2 linked regions of the Struthio camelus genome follow. The main gene of each other region encodes a partner of the protein of the gene in region 2 in a complex. Links are inferred from orthologs where the notes say so. Each region holds a gene or a part of one and is shown on either strand. Other genes may lie near its edges.

What was found. The genes of interacting proteins can lie anywhere in the genome.
Region 1: the proteins of PAWR (region 2) and SPSB1 are in contact, whole or in part, in a crystal structure (PDB 2JK9), measured with the Homo sapiens proteins. The link is inferred for Struthio camelus from reciprocal best matches to the Homo sapiens genes PAWR and SPSB1. Residues at the interface, in NP_001341661.1 of Homo sapiens: Glu68, Leu69, Asn70, Asn71, Asn72, Leu73, Pro74; in NP_079382.2 of Homo sapiens: Arg77, His78, Pro79, Val80, Ala81, Gln82, Gly110, Thr111, Tyr129, Val216, Trp217, Gly218.

What each region holds. Positions count from the first base shown.
Region 1 is NC_090962.1:5,493,129-5,500,584, forward strand, and holds the start of SPSB1 (SPRY domain-containing SOCS box protein 1), read left to right. Parts: upstream 1-4,376; 5' UTR 4,377-4,612; intron 4,613-7,456. UniProt on the Homo sapiens protein: Substrate recognition component of a SCF-like ECS (Elongin BC-CUL2/5-SOCS-box protein) E3 ubiquitin-protein ligase complex which mediates the ubiquitination and subsequent proteasomal degradation of target proteins.
Region 2 is NC_090942.1:45,220,248-45,227,961, reverse strand, and holds the start of PAWR (PRKC apoptosis WT1 regulator protein), read left to right. Parts: upstream 1-4,713; 5' UTR 4,714-4,893; intron 4,894-5,189; 5' UTR 5,190-5,347; coding exon 5,348-5,851; intron 5,852-7,714. UniProt on the Homo sapiens protein: Pro-apoptotic protein capable of selectively inducing apoptosis in cancer cells, sensitizing the cells to diverse apoptotic stimuli and causing regression of tumors in animal models.

The sequences.
Region 1 (7,456 bases), on a different chromosome or scaffold from region 2:
AAGACTGTGAGACAACCCTCAGACAAAGAAACTCACAGCTTGCGATGGCAAGGTGCCGCAAGTAGCCCAGCGAGAAATCATGCCCCTCGGGATCATCTGGCTCAAGATGCTGTATCTGATCTTTTTCTCACTAGCACTGCAGGGACAGGCGGCAACCTTGCTTGCTGGGAATAAGCCTAAAATGTAGGCTACCACATCTGACTCCTTTGTGTGAGGAGATGCGTTTCAGACAAAAGGCGTCTTGGTGAACCTTCTCCTCCTTTGCGTTTGTCCAGCAGGATTTGCGTGACATTAGCGCTAACAGGCTGTACTTCCGCACTGATTCAGCGGAGCGGACGCAGCAGGTGTGGGTAAGCTTCTAACTTCTATTTACAGGGTGGATCAGTGAAGGATCCTTGCAACCATATGGTAGTTGTAAACCTGCTGCGCTCCCGAACTTTAATGCAGGTGCCTCAGTGTGGACAAGAGATGAACCCAGGGAGCGTTAACTGTGTAAGAAAATACCCTGCTGCCCTGGTTACGTTCTCATGCATTTGTGTCCACAACTGGAGGTTACATACAGAGAAGATCGTAAGGAAATCTTGAGCAAGGCTGGAAGTGACGTGGTGACTTTTCATGGAAGAGGAACTGCAGTCTCACATGGAGTGGCAACTCAGTTGGTGTGCCCTTAATTTAACAGTCCTCTTGGGAAAAGGGCAGGAACTACTGCAACATTCCCTTTCCAGGGTAGTGCTGACTGTGGTGTCTGGGGGAGGCCGCACACTCCGACTGAGACGGGTTAGTGGCTATTACAGAGCCAGCCTGAGACCCAGGAAACCTGCATCCCATTCCCCAGGCTGGCAGAGGTCCCTTGCACGTGACCTCGGACACGCCATTTAATCTCTCAGTTTGAAAACAGTAATACTTCTTTACTTACAAGGGATGTAATGTGCTCTTGGCAAGATAAGTGAGTGCACAATGCACCACTTTTTGTTTCTGAAGGTATTTAAATAAGCTCCACACAGAGCACAGAGCCACACTGTAATCTCACAGCAATAAAAGCAGTTGTCAGAGGTCACTCAAAGTCAGTGGACAAAGCAGAATTGGTCCAGCTCTGCCCATGCCTTTCCATTCTTGGATGAGAACGGCCTACGTTTTAATAAGCTCACTCTAAAACATCTTAGGAGACCTTGCTTTTCATGCAACAATGAGACACTTTTGCCCTCTGAAGAACAATTGGGCACCTGAGATCATTAGTTGCTTTTTGATAGTTCAAACACAGAACTCATTATCTGGGAGGAAGGGGTGGAGTGAAATCCCTTTGTTACTTCTCCAGCTCATCTGATTCTGATCGCTTCCTGCAGGAGAAATGGATGACAGCTCATAGATCCGTCTTGACTTGTTGATCCTTTTAGTGCCGAGTACCCTGGCACGGGTTTAGCTGAACATGAATGCCTCCACTTCAGTTGCTACAAGAAGCTGGCCCAAAGTTTAGCTCCTGCAGGCCACCTTCTCTCCACCCAGAACGCAGTAAGGTTAGGTGAGCCAGCAGTCCAGGCTGAAGAAATCATGTCACACCTAATGCCTTTTCTCCCTGCTCTCTGCTTTTCCTGCTGCCTTGGCAGGGGCCTAACCTTTCGTACCTTGCTTTCACCCTTCAGGCCTCAAGAAATCGATATCTCCAGTTCTGGGAGGCAGCTAACATCGCTGTAGTGGAGTCAGCAGAGCAGCTGAATTCACAGGCAGATTAAAGCCTGCTGAGTTTCCTGCACAGTTCTCAGACCTCATTAACATCTTTCTTGGACTCAGTGATGACATGCCTCTGCTGCTGCAGAAGGTGCTCACGCTGTGCTGACCCTTTAATACACCCTGGGGAGCGAGCTGCGGCGAGACGGGCCAACGAGAACCTGCTTTCAAAGTCTCCATAAGCGAGAGCCTGGGATTCCCGCAGGATCCTGGCTCTGGCTATTGCTCTGTTATCCCTCCTGGGGCGCAGCAGATGTGCAGGGGAAGGTCTCAAAGCAAGAGGAAGTTTCCCCATCTGCATCTCTAGGCATCAAGAGCTACTGCCAGCCCACTAATCAACAGCTGCCTCCCCTCTGTCTTCCTAGATTACAAAGCCACGTTAGCCTTTGCCCCACTCCCACCGATGAGGTTCTCACGTTACAGCAGCCTCCCAACTTGGCAGTAATGAAACAAAGCCTTTAAAGTAGGTGCACTTTAATACGTGTAGTAGAGTGATTTACTGTAAATGAGAACATGGCCCCCAGAGCTCCTGTTCTGAGCAGTTCTGGAGTTTCCCAATACAACACTTCAGTTTGCCTTGCTCTCTGGCTAATGTTTGGGTGGTTCTTTCCTCCAAGATCTTTGGCCTGGGTATAAGAGGCACAAGTGACTCAGGAACAAGTGGAGATCAAATGGGAAAATTCTCCACGGGCAAGGATGGATTTGCACGCAAGCTGCCAGCGCGCTGTTAGAAAGCACTGGAGCTAGTTTGCAGAGCCAACATCCTTCCTCATCTCTCTCGGAGCAGTATTCACAGGGTTTCCAGGTGAGCATGAGCCCACTAGGTTTGGCCAGCTGTCCAAGAAATGGACAGGCAACCTATAGGAAAATCTTAAGGAAGGAGATTTTCACAATACACCTGGGGGACTATTTCACAGCGATTTCTGCTGAAATTAGTGGGAAAAATCTTGTTGACTTAAACAGGAACAGGATGAGGTCAAAGCAAAGTAGCTTTGAAAAAGCCACCCAAATAGATGTATCTGTTTAACATGAAATCTCTCCCATGTCTGTCTTCTGTGAAAGAAGACATTTGTGCAGTGCCTACAAACTCCCTGGTGTCTCTGGTCAGCTAGAGCAATAACTTTAATGTAATGTGCATGTTTTTCGAGTGAACCACAATGGCTGGCACAGAGCATCTATTCCCTAAGGATTTCAAAAGATGCTTAACAAATTAGTGCCTCAGTCCTGGAAAGGCACGAATGCACATGTGGGCAACTTCACATGCATGCATTGTCCCATGGAGTCCGAGAGGAGTATTTGCCTGCATTGGCTGAAGTCTTTTTGCAGGACTGTTTTGGTTGCATGGCCAGAAAGGGGTGAAGGAGAGGGGGGTATACAACAGTCAAGCCACCACACCTTGGCCTTTGCATTACAAAGGCCACGGGAAGTTGCAGCTTCCCCTTTGTTCTGATATTTCAGTGGGGTCAGCGCTGTGCTGATATATCACGCATGATATATCGCTCGATGTCCTGCTGTGACTGACCACCTCGCTGAAGAAGTAACCTAGCAGCGAGGAGCCTACGGCCCCTGGGCACCACACAGCCTGCAATTCCGTGTCAGCCCATCTGCAGACATGCGACTCCCTCCTTGCCAGCACAGGGTATCACTAAGTTGTGCATGAACGAACGGCCCACAAACCATGAGAAAAAGCCTGTTCAGCTCTTAGCAGAGGAGAATCATACCGCCTTCCACCAGCATCCCCAGAGCCCTGGCACGTGTATACGCGGGGGAATCGCCTTCCTCACTGCTTACCTCCCTCCCTCCCTCAGAGGAGCACAGCAAGGAGAGAAACGGCTGAGCACCCCGTCTAATTTAAAGGCAGGTGAGGAGAATGAACACACTTGCGCATTTATGGATGACTCTTGTTTGAGTTGAGGCCTTGTGGTGAAAAGGAACTTCAGCAGAGATGGAAACAAAGCGCTCTGGAATTTGGGACGTACAAATTAAGGCACACAAACGAGCCCAGCTCTTCTTTTCAAACATGTCCCAGGACCATTAATGATGAGAACTGGTCAAGGCCCAACGTTAATGTTTCATCTCAAAAAACAATAACTTTGGCGGCATGCAGGCGCATCGGTTCAATACTGACTCAGATGGCAGGCTGCCACCTCCTGAATCATTCATACCACTTCCTGCAGCTCCGAGGTGGTCCTTGGAGGTATCCCATGCAAAAAGGCTTGCTCAATTTATGACAATTACTAGTTTATAGCTCCAGGCAATATGGCTACAGAATCTTTTTTGCTTGGGAATACTGAAAATGAATCGTCTCAAAGAGACATCGCTGCGTCAGATTTGTCCCTAAATTCGCTTTTTTTTTTTTTGGGGGGGGGGGGGGAAGACTGAAACGATCAGAATCGTTTCCATGATTTATTTGCGTAAATAAATCAGTTCTAAAAAATAAAATAAAAAAACGCATGCTCCCTAGAGTGACCGCAACGCCAGCACTGCAACCCCGGGTCAACCTCTGAGCGGCTGAAAGCGAAATTCACCAGCAAGCGACGAAATCCCGGCCCGTGCCGCCCCGCACCGAAAAAACGAGCGCTGGGAGCGCCAAACCTGCGGCTATTTTTAGCGATTCTTGGAGTGAGAAGGGGCGGAGCGGGGCCGCAGCCGGGGGCGGAGCCGGGCCGGGCCGGCTGTTATTTGGGCCATGTGAGGGGCCGGGCCGCGTTGGCCGCGTCTGGCGCCGGGCGGAGCCGCCGCTCCAGCCTCCCCGCCGCGGCGGAGGCGCGGGTGGGTGGGTGGATGGGTGGGCGCAGACCGGCGCCGCCTTCGCTGCGCTCCGCACCTCTCCGCACCTCTCCGCGGCCCCGGACGCTGCCATGCTCCGGCCGGCAGCCTGGGAGCGGTAAGAGCCGCCGGGGCTGAGGTTGGGGTTGGGCTGGGCGCAGCGCTGCCGGGGCCGCGCCGCGGCGGGGCCACGCGTGAGCGCGGCGCTGGGGGTGGCGGGGGCGGCCGCGGAGCGCGCAGGCGGGGAGCGCGGAGCCCGGCGCGCTGGGGGAGCGGGGCGCCGCTCGCTCCCGCGTCTCGCTGGAGCGCACCTTGCAAGGCTGGAGGAGCACGGCCCTCTCTTCTCCTTTCGCGACGTGAACGTGGGCTAATGTGCGCTAGTTTATATAACCCCGTGTCTGAGGAGCCTAGACTCTGCTACCAGACGAGATTAATCTTGCCGTATCCTTGTGATGGAGTGTAACTTGCTTGCCTTATCTGCCTGAGCAATCAGTGTGGCTGGTGACGGAGAGTGGCTGCAGCTGACTAGAAAGCCTGAGCCATCACTCGGTGTAAGAGTAGGAAGTTTACGAAATGATTGCAAAGATGGCAGCTACTCCCTTAGAGAAATAAATCTCGTTTTTCTTATCTGACAGTGATGCAGGATGAGCGTATGATCTTCTGGTCTCGGAAGCCAGTCTTCCTTTCTTTCTCTCTCCTTCCCAAGCTGCTGTCTGCCTTTACCTCGCAGACCCTGGGGCAGGGGCGCTGTGAAGGCTTCGGTGGCACGTGCAGCTTCGTCTCGCTGGGGGCTGCATGCCACATTTCCAGGAGCAAACTGCCGAGTGTCCGATGATGGCAGCTTCTGAGTTGCGGCTGTAGGATGGGGTCAAAGCGGCTGTCCCGGCGTAGGGTGCGGAAAGCGGCTTCTGCAGCGCGTTGGGAGGGAAGTTGCAGGGAAGGTGATGGAGCCATGCGACTGTTTACAAAAGTGAATGGCAACGCTGAGAGCACTCAGCGGCTCGCGGAGGAGAGTCTGCCGTGTCCAACCAGCTGCTAGTGTGCCTGTCTCCTCCCTGCTCCCTCCGTCAGTATGCCTGGCCTCCGGCCCTGTCGTGGCTCTCAAAAGACTTGAGATGACGGATGTATGAAGTTGTAATTTGTTCTTCTCCCTGTGACCTTTTCTTCCCCCCCCCCCCCCTATTTTTTTCTGAGGGTAAGGGATGAACTTCTGCAGCAGCGTATTCCTCTGGGGGGCATTGTATTGTTGCAGAACATCAGCAGCAGGCTTTTACAGCCTCTCTTCCCCGCTTTAGAGGTTACTGAAGCGCACTATAATGTGATTGGGGTTTGTTTGTAAACTTATGTTAGATACTTCCGAGATGCGGTTTCATGTTCCAGGAACCAGCTAGCTGAGATGTGCTGTGTTTGTGTGGAGTCAGGTCATTGCAGCTAAATCCTGGAAATAGATGTGCTTTGCTTGTTGGTCTCCCCTTCTTTCCCTGTCCCCTTGCATTTCCTTTCTTAGTAGAAGTGAAAGCAGTATCTGTCTTGCAAGGGCTAGTTGAGAATTCATGAAGGCACCTGAGTTAAAAGCCTGTAGATAGTGAGCCAGTCAGGACACAGTTCAAACTGGCTAGCTCTTATATGCCAACACAAGCTGTGCTTACAGTTTTGGGCTGTAGCGTAGATGTACTGACTCAGTCTCGAGTCATTGAAGGCTTGTCAACACAAGGGGAGGGTGGATTAGCTGGTGTTGGCAGGGAGCATCAATGAGATGACCTCAGCTGGGTTGTGCAGCAGTACTCCGTTCGTAACAGCTTATCTTTGTGTCCCATAGAAGAAGGCTCATACTTGTATTAACTAGTAAAGTGATGGTAGCATTATATCATTGGAAAAAGAGCTTACTAGGCCTGCATGGGTTATATTAACAAACTTGGGCTGAGCATGAGTTTCCCTAACCTTGATGTTTCCAAAGGTTGAAATAGGCGGCTGATTGTGAAACTTGCAGCCCTGCTCCTTGTAGTTGTGGCGTGTGACATGACTTAGCAAATTAAGTTGCTGCTACAAGACAAGATAGATACCAGCTGCTTCCAGGCAAAACTGTGTAATGCCCACAGAGTAAAAGTGAGTAAGTGTCTGAGAACCAAGGTTACAAAACTGCGGTTGCTGGAGTCCTTTGCTAGTGGTCATCGTAGAAGGGGTTGATTTCAAGGTGTTGACTCACTTCCAGTTACTACACTACTCTGAGCAACACAAAAAAATCTTCTCTTGAATTACTCCTCCATGTGAGTAATTGCTACATCTGCCACTATTGCAATAAATAATTGCTGGGGGAGCATGGATGCAGTTGTCCTTGGCAGAGATGGGACATGTGCCACAGGAGATATCCAGACTTTAGAGTGCAAATGGGGCAACATAGCTTTCAAGTACTAGTTCCCAAGCACACAGAAACAAAAGCCACTATTAATTTTGTTTTCCCAAAGCACTGTTACCTTAAAAAAAAAAAAAAAGTGGGGAGGGGTTTCCATGGATTCACCCTTAACTCTGCCCACAAGGCCACAGAGTGTTGCAATGCATTGGGAGCTACTGGGCTAAAATAATTTGGCCCATTGGACTGATAACCAGGAAAATCTGTTCCAGCAGACCATACTTCTGGGTGAAGTGATGTCGAGCCTGAAGAAGGTGTCTAACAGTTCTGTCTTGCAAAGACCCAGCAGTCTTGTGAGGCAACTGAGTATGACAGGAGACTGAATGAAATACACCTTGTGCATGGAGGGATGCCTGCAAGGGGGAGTTACAGTCAGTTATTAAACTTAAATGTAATGTACAAGTGCTGACAATGGAGCAGGAAGTCTTCAGGCTCGCTTGGAGAGGAGAGAAAAAAAAAAAACCCAAAACAAAGCTTTGCTGAGCCTGGATAGGACCTGCAGCAATGAGATTTAAAACTTCAGCCTGTCCTAATGTTGTGATGAGCCAAAGA
Region 2 (7,714 bases):
CAGAGGAGAAAGGCCTACGGACTTTGGACTATAAAGCACCACCAACGTTTTTAAATTCTTTTGACTGCCTCTGACAGAGCTATTCCTTTTTCAGGTAGAGATATAACTGGGAATAACGGAAGAGCACAAGGAGAAAGACACTTACTTACACATTTGGAAAGTGTATCCCATCTCATTCTAAGAACGTGGTCTGAGGCAGCACGAGTGATTGGAGAGAGGAACATGAGTATTGCTACAGGACAGCGAAGCGCTGGCTTGGAAAGCATTAGGAAGCATTAGGAAGGTTACTACTTTTATGTGGAGAATTGACATTAGAAATTTCATGGCACATATGTGAGGATTTTGAAGAAAGATGAGAAGTTATGCAAGTGATTTAATGGGAAAGGTTTAAAGAGAAGGCTTTTGAAATTTTATGGATTAAGAAGTGAAGCAGGGACATTTCCATGAAAAGGTGGTAGTAAGATTTCACTGAATCATAGTGATTTTAAGCAACAGCGTTAATAATAGAATAGTGCAGAAATAAGTACGTAGATAGGTTAGTATCAAGTGTGAGAATCGTATGAGGATTATACAGCAGGTGAAACTGAAGCAGCTGAGAGGGTAGATTTAATGGAACACTACTGGGGTGATTTCTCTAAATTTTGCAAGAGTGATAAAGCAGGTTCTGAAACAAGCACGTAACTGAAAAAGTTTGTATTAGGAGAAGAAACATTAAGAATGTTGACTGAAGGAACTTCAAAGGGCATCAGATACAGGAAGTACTAGATAGGTGGATTTAGGGGAAGAGTTTCATGGAAGTTCAGGTAAGAAAGACACAGATGGGGTGAAGTCCAGAACGGAAGGAAGAGTATGCGTATGTAAGAGCTAGACAGGCAAATATAGTAATCTCAACAGAGTTTTTGGGGAGAGCTTCCAAAGATGCTGAAGAAGGTGACAGAGAAGTAGTGTTTTTGTACAGAGCATACAGCATGGAGGTCAGCAGGTATTAAAAAAGTTGGGATAACATGCAAATAGACTTTGGCTAGGAACTCGGATGTTGTCCTTAGTTTGCTCAGCCAATAATACAGTGTTATTGGGTTGACCGTTTAATTTTCCATCCCTTGAAAACTGCCACTTGATAGATTATGGCTCAGATAGCTAAACTCGTACACAGAACCTTAATAAGATTGGGTAATTTGGTGGAATCTCTATCAGAAATCACAGAAATATTGAACTGCTTGCAACCATTCAACAAAGGATCTGGCTTTAAAGTGTCTGACCTCAAAAGGCACTTCAGTTCCTCAAGATTTTAAGAATAAATGATGTTTTTTATTCTAAATTGAAAAAAATGGAGTGTTTGCTTTTTGCCTGGCAAAGGAGATCTAGACCATCCTACCAAATCCTAGTAGTAATTTTACCTTTAGGGGAGAGTCTCATTCCACAATAATGAGTATATAGAAAACACTACTTTCAGGCTTAAGGTCCTTTGTCATTCTGATAGTTCTAAACGTGGCTAATAAAATGAATTGTATTTCTAGGCCTTAAAAATATCCCTAAGAATTTTTTAAGAAAAGAGAAAAGTGCTGTTCTAAAAATGTTTGCAACCTATTAAGCTGTTCTCAGTTGTGGCTGAGGAAAACATGCAGGGTGATACTTAAACTATTTGGGACTTTATCCCTGAAAGCTCTCCAGCACAGACAACCTTATTGAGATGCAAACATCTGACAGTCAGCATTTTTGTAGCGGGCACTTAAGCCCAACCTCACTCACCACAACATAACTTCTGTTAATATATAACAGACTGTAAAGAACACAAAGCCTTTTGGCACTGGGAAAAAAAAACCCAACATTTTTTTTTACAGGCACTAGGAAAAAAAAAAAATCTAACAACAATGGCAGATCCAGCTAAAGCCCAGCAGTAGCATCCCCTATGCTTAATAAGGGTGGCAGAAGAGATGCCAAGTGGGCCAAACACATTTAAACCTTGCTGATAATGGCTGCCACATTGAGAGGGGCTGAAGCAGCAACTGGGAAGACCCAAGGTAATGGAGAATTGAGATTAAGAACTAAAATTTATTGCTCTATTTCTCCATAGACATAACATATTATAAATAACAACTTTCTGATCTGACCCTTTTAACACATTTTTGGCCAGATGTGCTCCTCGTGGGGTATACTAATGAGCGAGGACACAAATACTGGTACTGTCACAGCTATGTTGATTCTCACAAGAGAACTTTGTTGTATAAAAGGCAGTATTTGACAGAATGGGAGAAGTACCTTGCAGACAACTATTCATCTGAATTTTTCTAAATTATGTTTCCTAAAAATATAACTGAGTAGTTTTCTAACTTTAAAACTCTACAGGTAAGAATTCAGGGGCTCTGGGGCAGAGACCTTGATCAAAATTCTCGTTAAGTCAACTTTTTTTAAACACTTGATCTCCAAGTAGAAATTTGATCAACTTTACTAATTTTATATTGTTGAGTATTAAGAAGTATTAGAGTTAGTAAAAAATTACATTACAGAATGTTTTCAACATTTACTTCCTGGCTTATTTTGGTGTTTTCCCTCAGCTTGAAAAATAAGAGGTTTCTTCTGCACCAAGGATCCTGGCATCTGAACTTCCTTATATGCAAACATATAAACCCCCTTTCAAAACCACCCTCTTCACCAAAGAAAACCCCAAACCCAAACCAGAGTAGAAATCAGATATGAATTAAGTGAAACGAATGATCACCAGAAGGGCACAGAAGGCTGGTATGGTGAGGGAGCACCAATTACGGTACAAAAGAACAGGACAGAGAGGCACATAAGGTCAAAGTGGTAAGTGGTGTGCATGAAGTAAGTCTGTTAGTTATACTGCTGGCTACAGAAAGGTTAGAGTCAGGCACTGGGGACTCCATTCTACTAGATGTTATACATGTATGTGTATATATATATTTTTATATATATATATGTATATATATGTTTATATGCACAGTGTAAAAAGAAACCAAAAACGTCTACAGAGTTTATAATCTAAACTACTTGAGGGTTTTATTAACCCAATGGACAAATTCTGAACTGAATCTGAAAGAGAGAGAAAAGTGAGGAATAACTGTGAGGAGGAGAGGCAACGGGCAGAAACTGAACCACAGGAAGTTCCATCTGAACCTGAGGAAAAACTTCTTCACTGTGAGGGTGACAGAGCATTGGAACAGGTTGCCCAGAGAGGTGGTGGAGTCTCCTTCGCTGGAGATATTCAAAAGCCGTCTGGATGTGATCCAGGGCAATGTGCTCTAGGTGACCCTGCTTGAACAGGGAGGTTGGACTAGATGATCTCCAGAGGTCCCTTCCAACCTAAACGATTCTGTGATTCCGTGATTCTGTGATATGCTCCCAGCTACATAAACCCAGGTTTTCTGGATTTCCTGTGCCTCTGACATAAACTTGTATCTTGCTCTAGCCCACTTGCCTGAACCTACTGCAAAAGTAGCACCTACCCAGTCCTTCATTCCTCTTAGTGTACTCCTCATAAATCAGAATTAAGCAAATGTTACTGAAACCAGTGATTTACAAAAACAACACAATCAGTTTCCAGGGTTCTATTATGATATAGCGAGTTCAGAAAAAAACAGGGCACGTTTTCCATGCAGGTTTTGTCATTTGACCGTTTATACCAATCGAATGAAAACAATATACTTAAATCACATTCGCTGCACGTGTGTCTTCCCTAATACTTAAGAAAGTCAGCTTCCCGAGCCGAAGACTGTATTATTTACAAACGCTACATCTCTCAAGCTTTTGCAGAGTGACAGAAGGAAATCCCTTGTTTCTCGTCACACCAGGAGAGCCCAGGCTCTGCCCCGACCTCGCGCCTGCAGAAACGAGGGAGGTCTACTCAGTAACTTCAGTGCGCCCACCAGAGCTGCAGACAGGAGGAAGCTGTTACGCTGCGGGAGTGATTAAGTTCAGACTCTTCCCGGTCTGAAGGTGTACCAACCCCGTCGACCAGCACAACACGCAGCGATCCTTACGTTTTCAGCCGCAGCACGCACCGCCTCCTCCCTGAGGCACGCACACGCCGCACGCTGCCGAGCGCTCAGTTTAACGCGGCGCAGCTCCTGAGGGCGTTTCTCCCTAAACACAGCGTTTTCCTAACGACAGCTGAAGTCAAAAATTCACGAAGTCGGACTTCCGACGTGTTATTCGGGACAGCGGGAGGCAGCGCCGGCCGCACACCCGCCGGCCGCCCCCCCCGCTCACCAACGGCGCAGCGCCGGGCCGCTTCGGCCGCACCTTCCCGGTAGCTCCTCACCCCAGGCCCGCCGGGACAAAGCCTGCGGGGCAGCTGGGGCGAGGGCACGGCGGGAATCGCCTTCACCGGAGGCTTTTGGACAAACGCCGCTGCACGGGAGCGTGGCCTAAGGCGGCGCGGCAGCCCGCCCGGCCGTTGGCCGTTGGTTGGCGGTTGGCCGGCGGTTGGCGGCGCCCCCAGCCCTCGCCCGCTCCCGCGCCGCCCGCCTCGCCGTTGGCAGCGCCGGGGTGGGGGTCCCCCTCCGGCTGCGCTCACGCCGGGGCAGGTGGCAGCACGGCGCTGCCGCCGCCGGCGGAGCAGCGGCGGGCGGCAACCGGCGCGGCGCGGTCAGGTCGCAACGCGCACCGGGCTGGGCCGGGCCGGGCGGGTCGGAACCTCCGTGCCGGCCCTCGGCGCGCGCCCCATTGTTAAGGGCCATCTCGGCAGTTTCCGCCCTCGCTTCGGCTCTGTCCGCGCCGCGATGGTGGAGGGCGGGCGGGCGTAGAGGGAGGGGAGAGGGAGCTCGCGAAGCCTCGGGGCCGCGCCGCTCCTTCCGGGACGGCGGGAGGCGGTGCTGCTCACCTGGTGCCGCCGGCGCTGGGGACCGCCTGTGCCGCGGCCCCGCCGGCCGGGAGGTGAGCGCCGGGGCGCTCCCCGCGCGGGCGCGGGGCGGGGGGCCGCCCCGGCAGGCAGGCGGCCGGGCGCCGGGAGGGGAGAGGAGGGGAACCGGTGCGCGGCGGCCCTTGCCGCGGGGGGGGGGGGGGGGGAACGAGGCGGCGGTTGGAACCGCGCGCCTGAGGGAGGGCGCCGGTGGCGCCTCGTCCCGGGGTGGGGTGGGGTGAGGGGGAGCGGCGTAGGGGCTTGCGGGGAGGCAGGACGAGGACGGGCTGCGGCGTGGATGTTTCACGGCTCCCCTTTTGTTTCTCTCCAGGGTGTTTGTGTTTCTGCGAGCCCGTCTCCCCGCCCCCGTCCCTCCCGCCCGCCCCGCCGGGACCTCTCCTCCCCGGGCAGCGGCAGAGCCGCCTCAGGGCGGGCGGCCGGTGGCAGAGGTGCTGCTGGGGCAACCTCGCCGCCTACCCCGCCGCGAACATGGCGACCGGTGGCTACCGCAGCGCCGGGGGCAGCACCACGGACTTTCTGGAGGAGTGGAAGGCCAAGCGGGAGAAGATGCGGGCCAAGCAAGCGCCGCCGGGCCAGGCGGCGGCGGCCGGCGGCGAGGCTAAGCCGCTGGGCGGCACGTCCTCCGCCGAGCTGAACAACAACCTGCACCCCGGCGGCCCGGCCGCCCCGCCCGAGCGGCCGGCGCCCTCCGCCGGCGGGGCCGTCCATTGTGTCAGCCTCGCCAGCGCCGCCTTGAGCAGGGCCGCCCCCGTCAAGGAGCCGCTGCCGGCCCTGGCCGGGGGCCGGGGGGCAGAGCCTGCCGCCAAGCCCCCTCCCGCCGCCGCCCCGGGCTCCCCGGAGGGCGAGGAGAAGCTGGCCGCCAAGGGGAAGAGCGCCGGCCCCAGCGCTAGGAAGGGGAAAGGGCAGATCGAGAAGAGGAAGCTGCGGGAGAAGAGGAGGTCGACAGGTGTGGTGAACATCCCGGCCGCCGAGGTGGGTGAGCCCGCGGGGGACGGGCCGGCCGGCCGGCGGCAGGCACGGAGGGAGGGAGGAGGGCGCTCGCCCGCCGCCGCCGCACCTGAGCCCCGGGCGCGGCGCGCGGCGGGAGGCGGCTCCCGGCGGGCTGCCCCGGCCCGAGCGTCGTGCCGGGGCCGCGGAGACCCCGCGGAGCCGGGGGCGCGCGTGGGGGCAGGCCGGCGCGCGGGGCCGGGCGCTGCGGGCCCCGAGCCGGGGCCGGGGGTCTGGCTGCTGCCCGCCGCCCTGCTGAACGTGCCTCCCCTCGACGTGGATTCGTTGGTGCGTCTGGGCGAAAACTGAGGTGGTGGAGTTTTATCCCTGCATCACGTAGAAAAACACAGAAGCCTCAGCGCAGTCCCTGAGGTGGATTCTGTGTCACTATAGTGTGCCATCCAAACAGTTGCGCAGTAGTAACTTTTTTTTTTTTTAAAATAAAAGCCCCTCTAATCGAGAGTGATTTGGGGGGAGGGGATGTCTTTATGTTGGCAGAGAATAACTTTTAAGACTACTGGAAGATCAAACTAAGAGGTACGTGCTCGTCAAAATAGGATCAAAACAATAGTAATGAAAGAAAACTAATATGTCAGCTCTGAATAGATGTTCAGGTGTAAATATTATTCAGTTTGGAACCCGAAAGAATTTCCTGCACTGGAAAAAATGTAGTGGTTTAAAGAGCATTTTTTTGAAAGCAGAGGAAGATATTTTTATCAGCCAACACCGCTGTCCTCTGTGGTTTGCTACTAGTATAAAAATCTGGCATTGATTTATAATACTCCTAGAGGAATTCAGAAGAATGATAACCAAGTTTTTAGCTTTTTGCGGTTAATAAGAAAGGCCAGAGGAAACTTTAAACAAAGCTGTGTTTTAGTTTACAGTCTTGCATTAATATTGATGACCAACATCCTTGCAGAAAAAAAACCTTGTATTATCAGTTCTTTTGGTTAACACTGGAGATTATTAAAATGCCAATAAAAACAAGATATGTGTTTCTAAAGCAGCAGCAGCAGATGAGATCCTGTTCTCCGTACCTAAAGTCACTAATCCTTTCTTTGGGACTTAATAAGCACTTTCCCGCAGTCACTTGCATGTGAGAAGATATCGGGAGGGAAGGAATTAATGAGTTCTAGGGAAGGAAGAAGTCTTTAAAATTGTGTTCTTACAGGCTGATCCTGCACTTCTTAATTGAAGTGATTAGTTTCCTTACTTGCATAGTCTTTGCTTTGAGGTGAAGTGTTCTGGTATCGGTCTTGCATCCATCACTTTCCAAAGCAGGAGTATTCAAGTGAGTCTTTTTTTTTTTTTTTTTTTAATACTCGAATTCTAGTGTGTGCAAACTTTTCTAGTCCATGGTTTGTTTATTTTATACAGAACCTCCTAAATAATTCCCCCCACCTCATGCTCCTATATGAGCTTTAGAAATGCTGTATCTTTATTTCCCCAAGTAAACCAGTCATGGTCCAGTTAATACTGCTTTTGCATATGAACAGTTCAACACTTTATTTTAGGGTCTCTGCTGTGCTCCAAATTCCCAATCCCTTTTTTTGAAACTATTGTCCTTTGATAGTTCCTTTCTATCTCTCTCTCTCTCTCTCTCTCTCTGTCTCTCTGTCTCTCTGTCTCTCTGTCTCTCTGTCTCTCTGTCTCTCTGTCTCTCTGTCTCTCTGTCTCTCTGTCTCTCTGTCTCTCTGTCTCTCTGTCTCTCTGTCTCTCTCTCTGTCTGTCTCTGTCCCCCCTCTTTTTTATTTACTTAATTATTATTTTTTAAAGGAACCTTGCTCAAAATACTCTTTGCTTTCCAGGAAAGCACAGTCTTTGCTCAGGAACATTGTGGATTTGTTA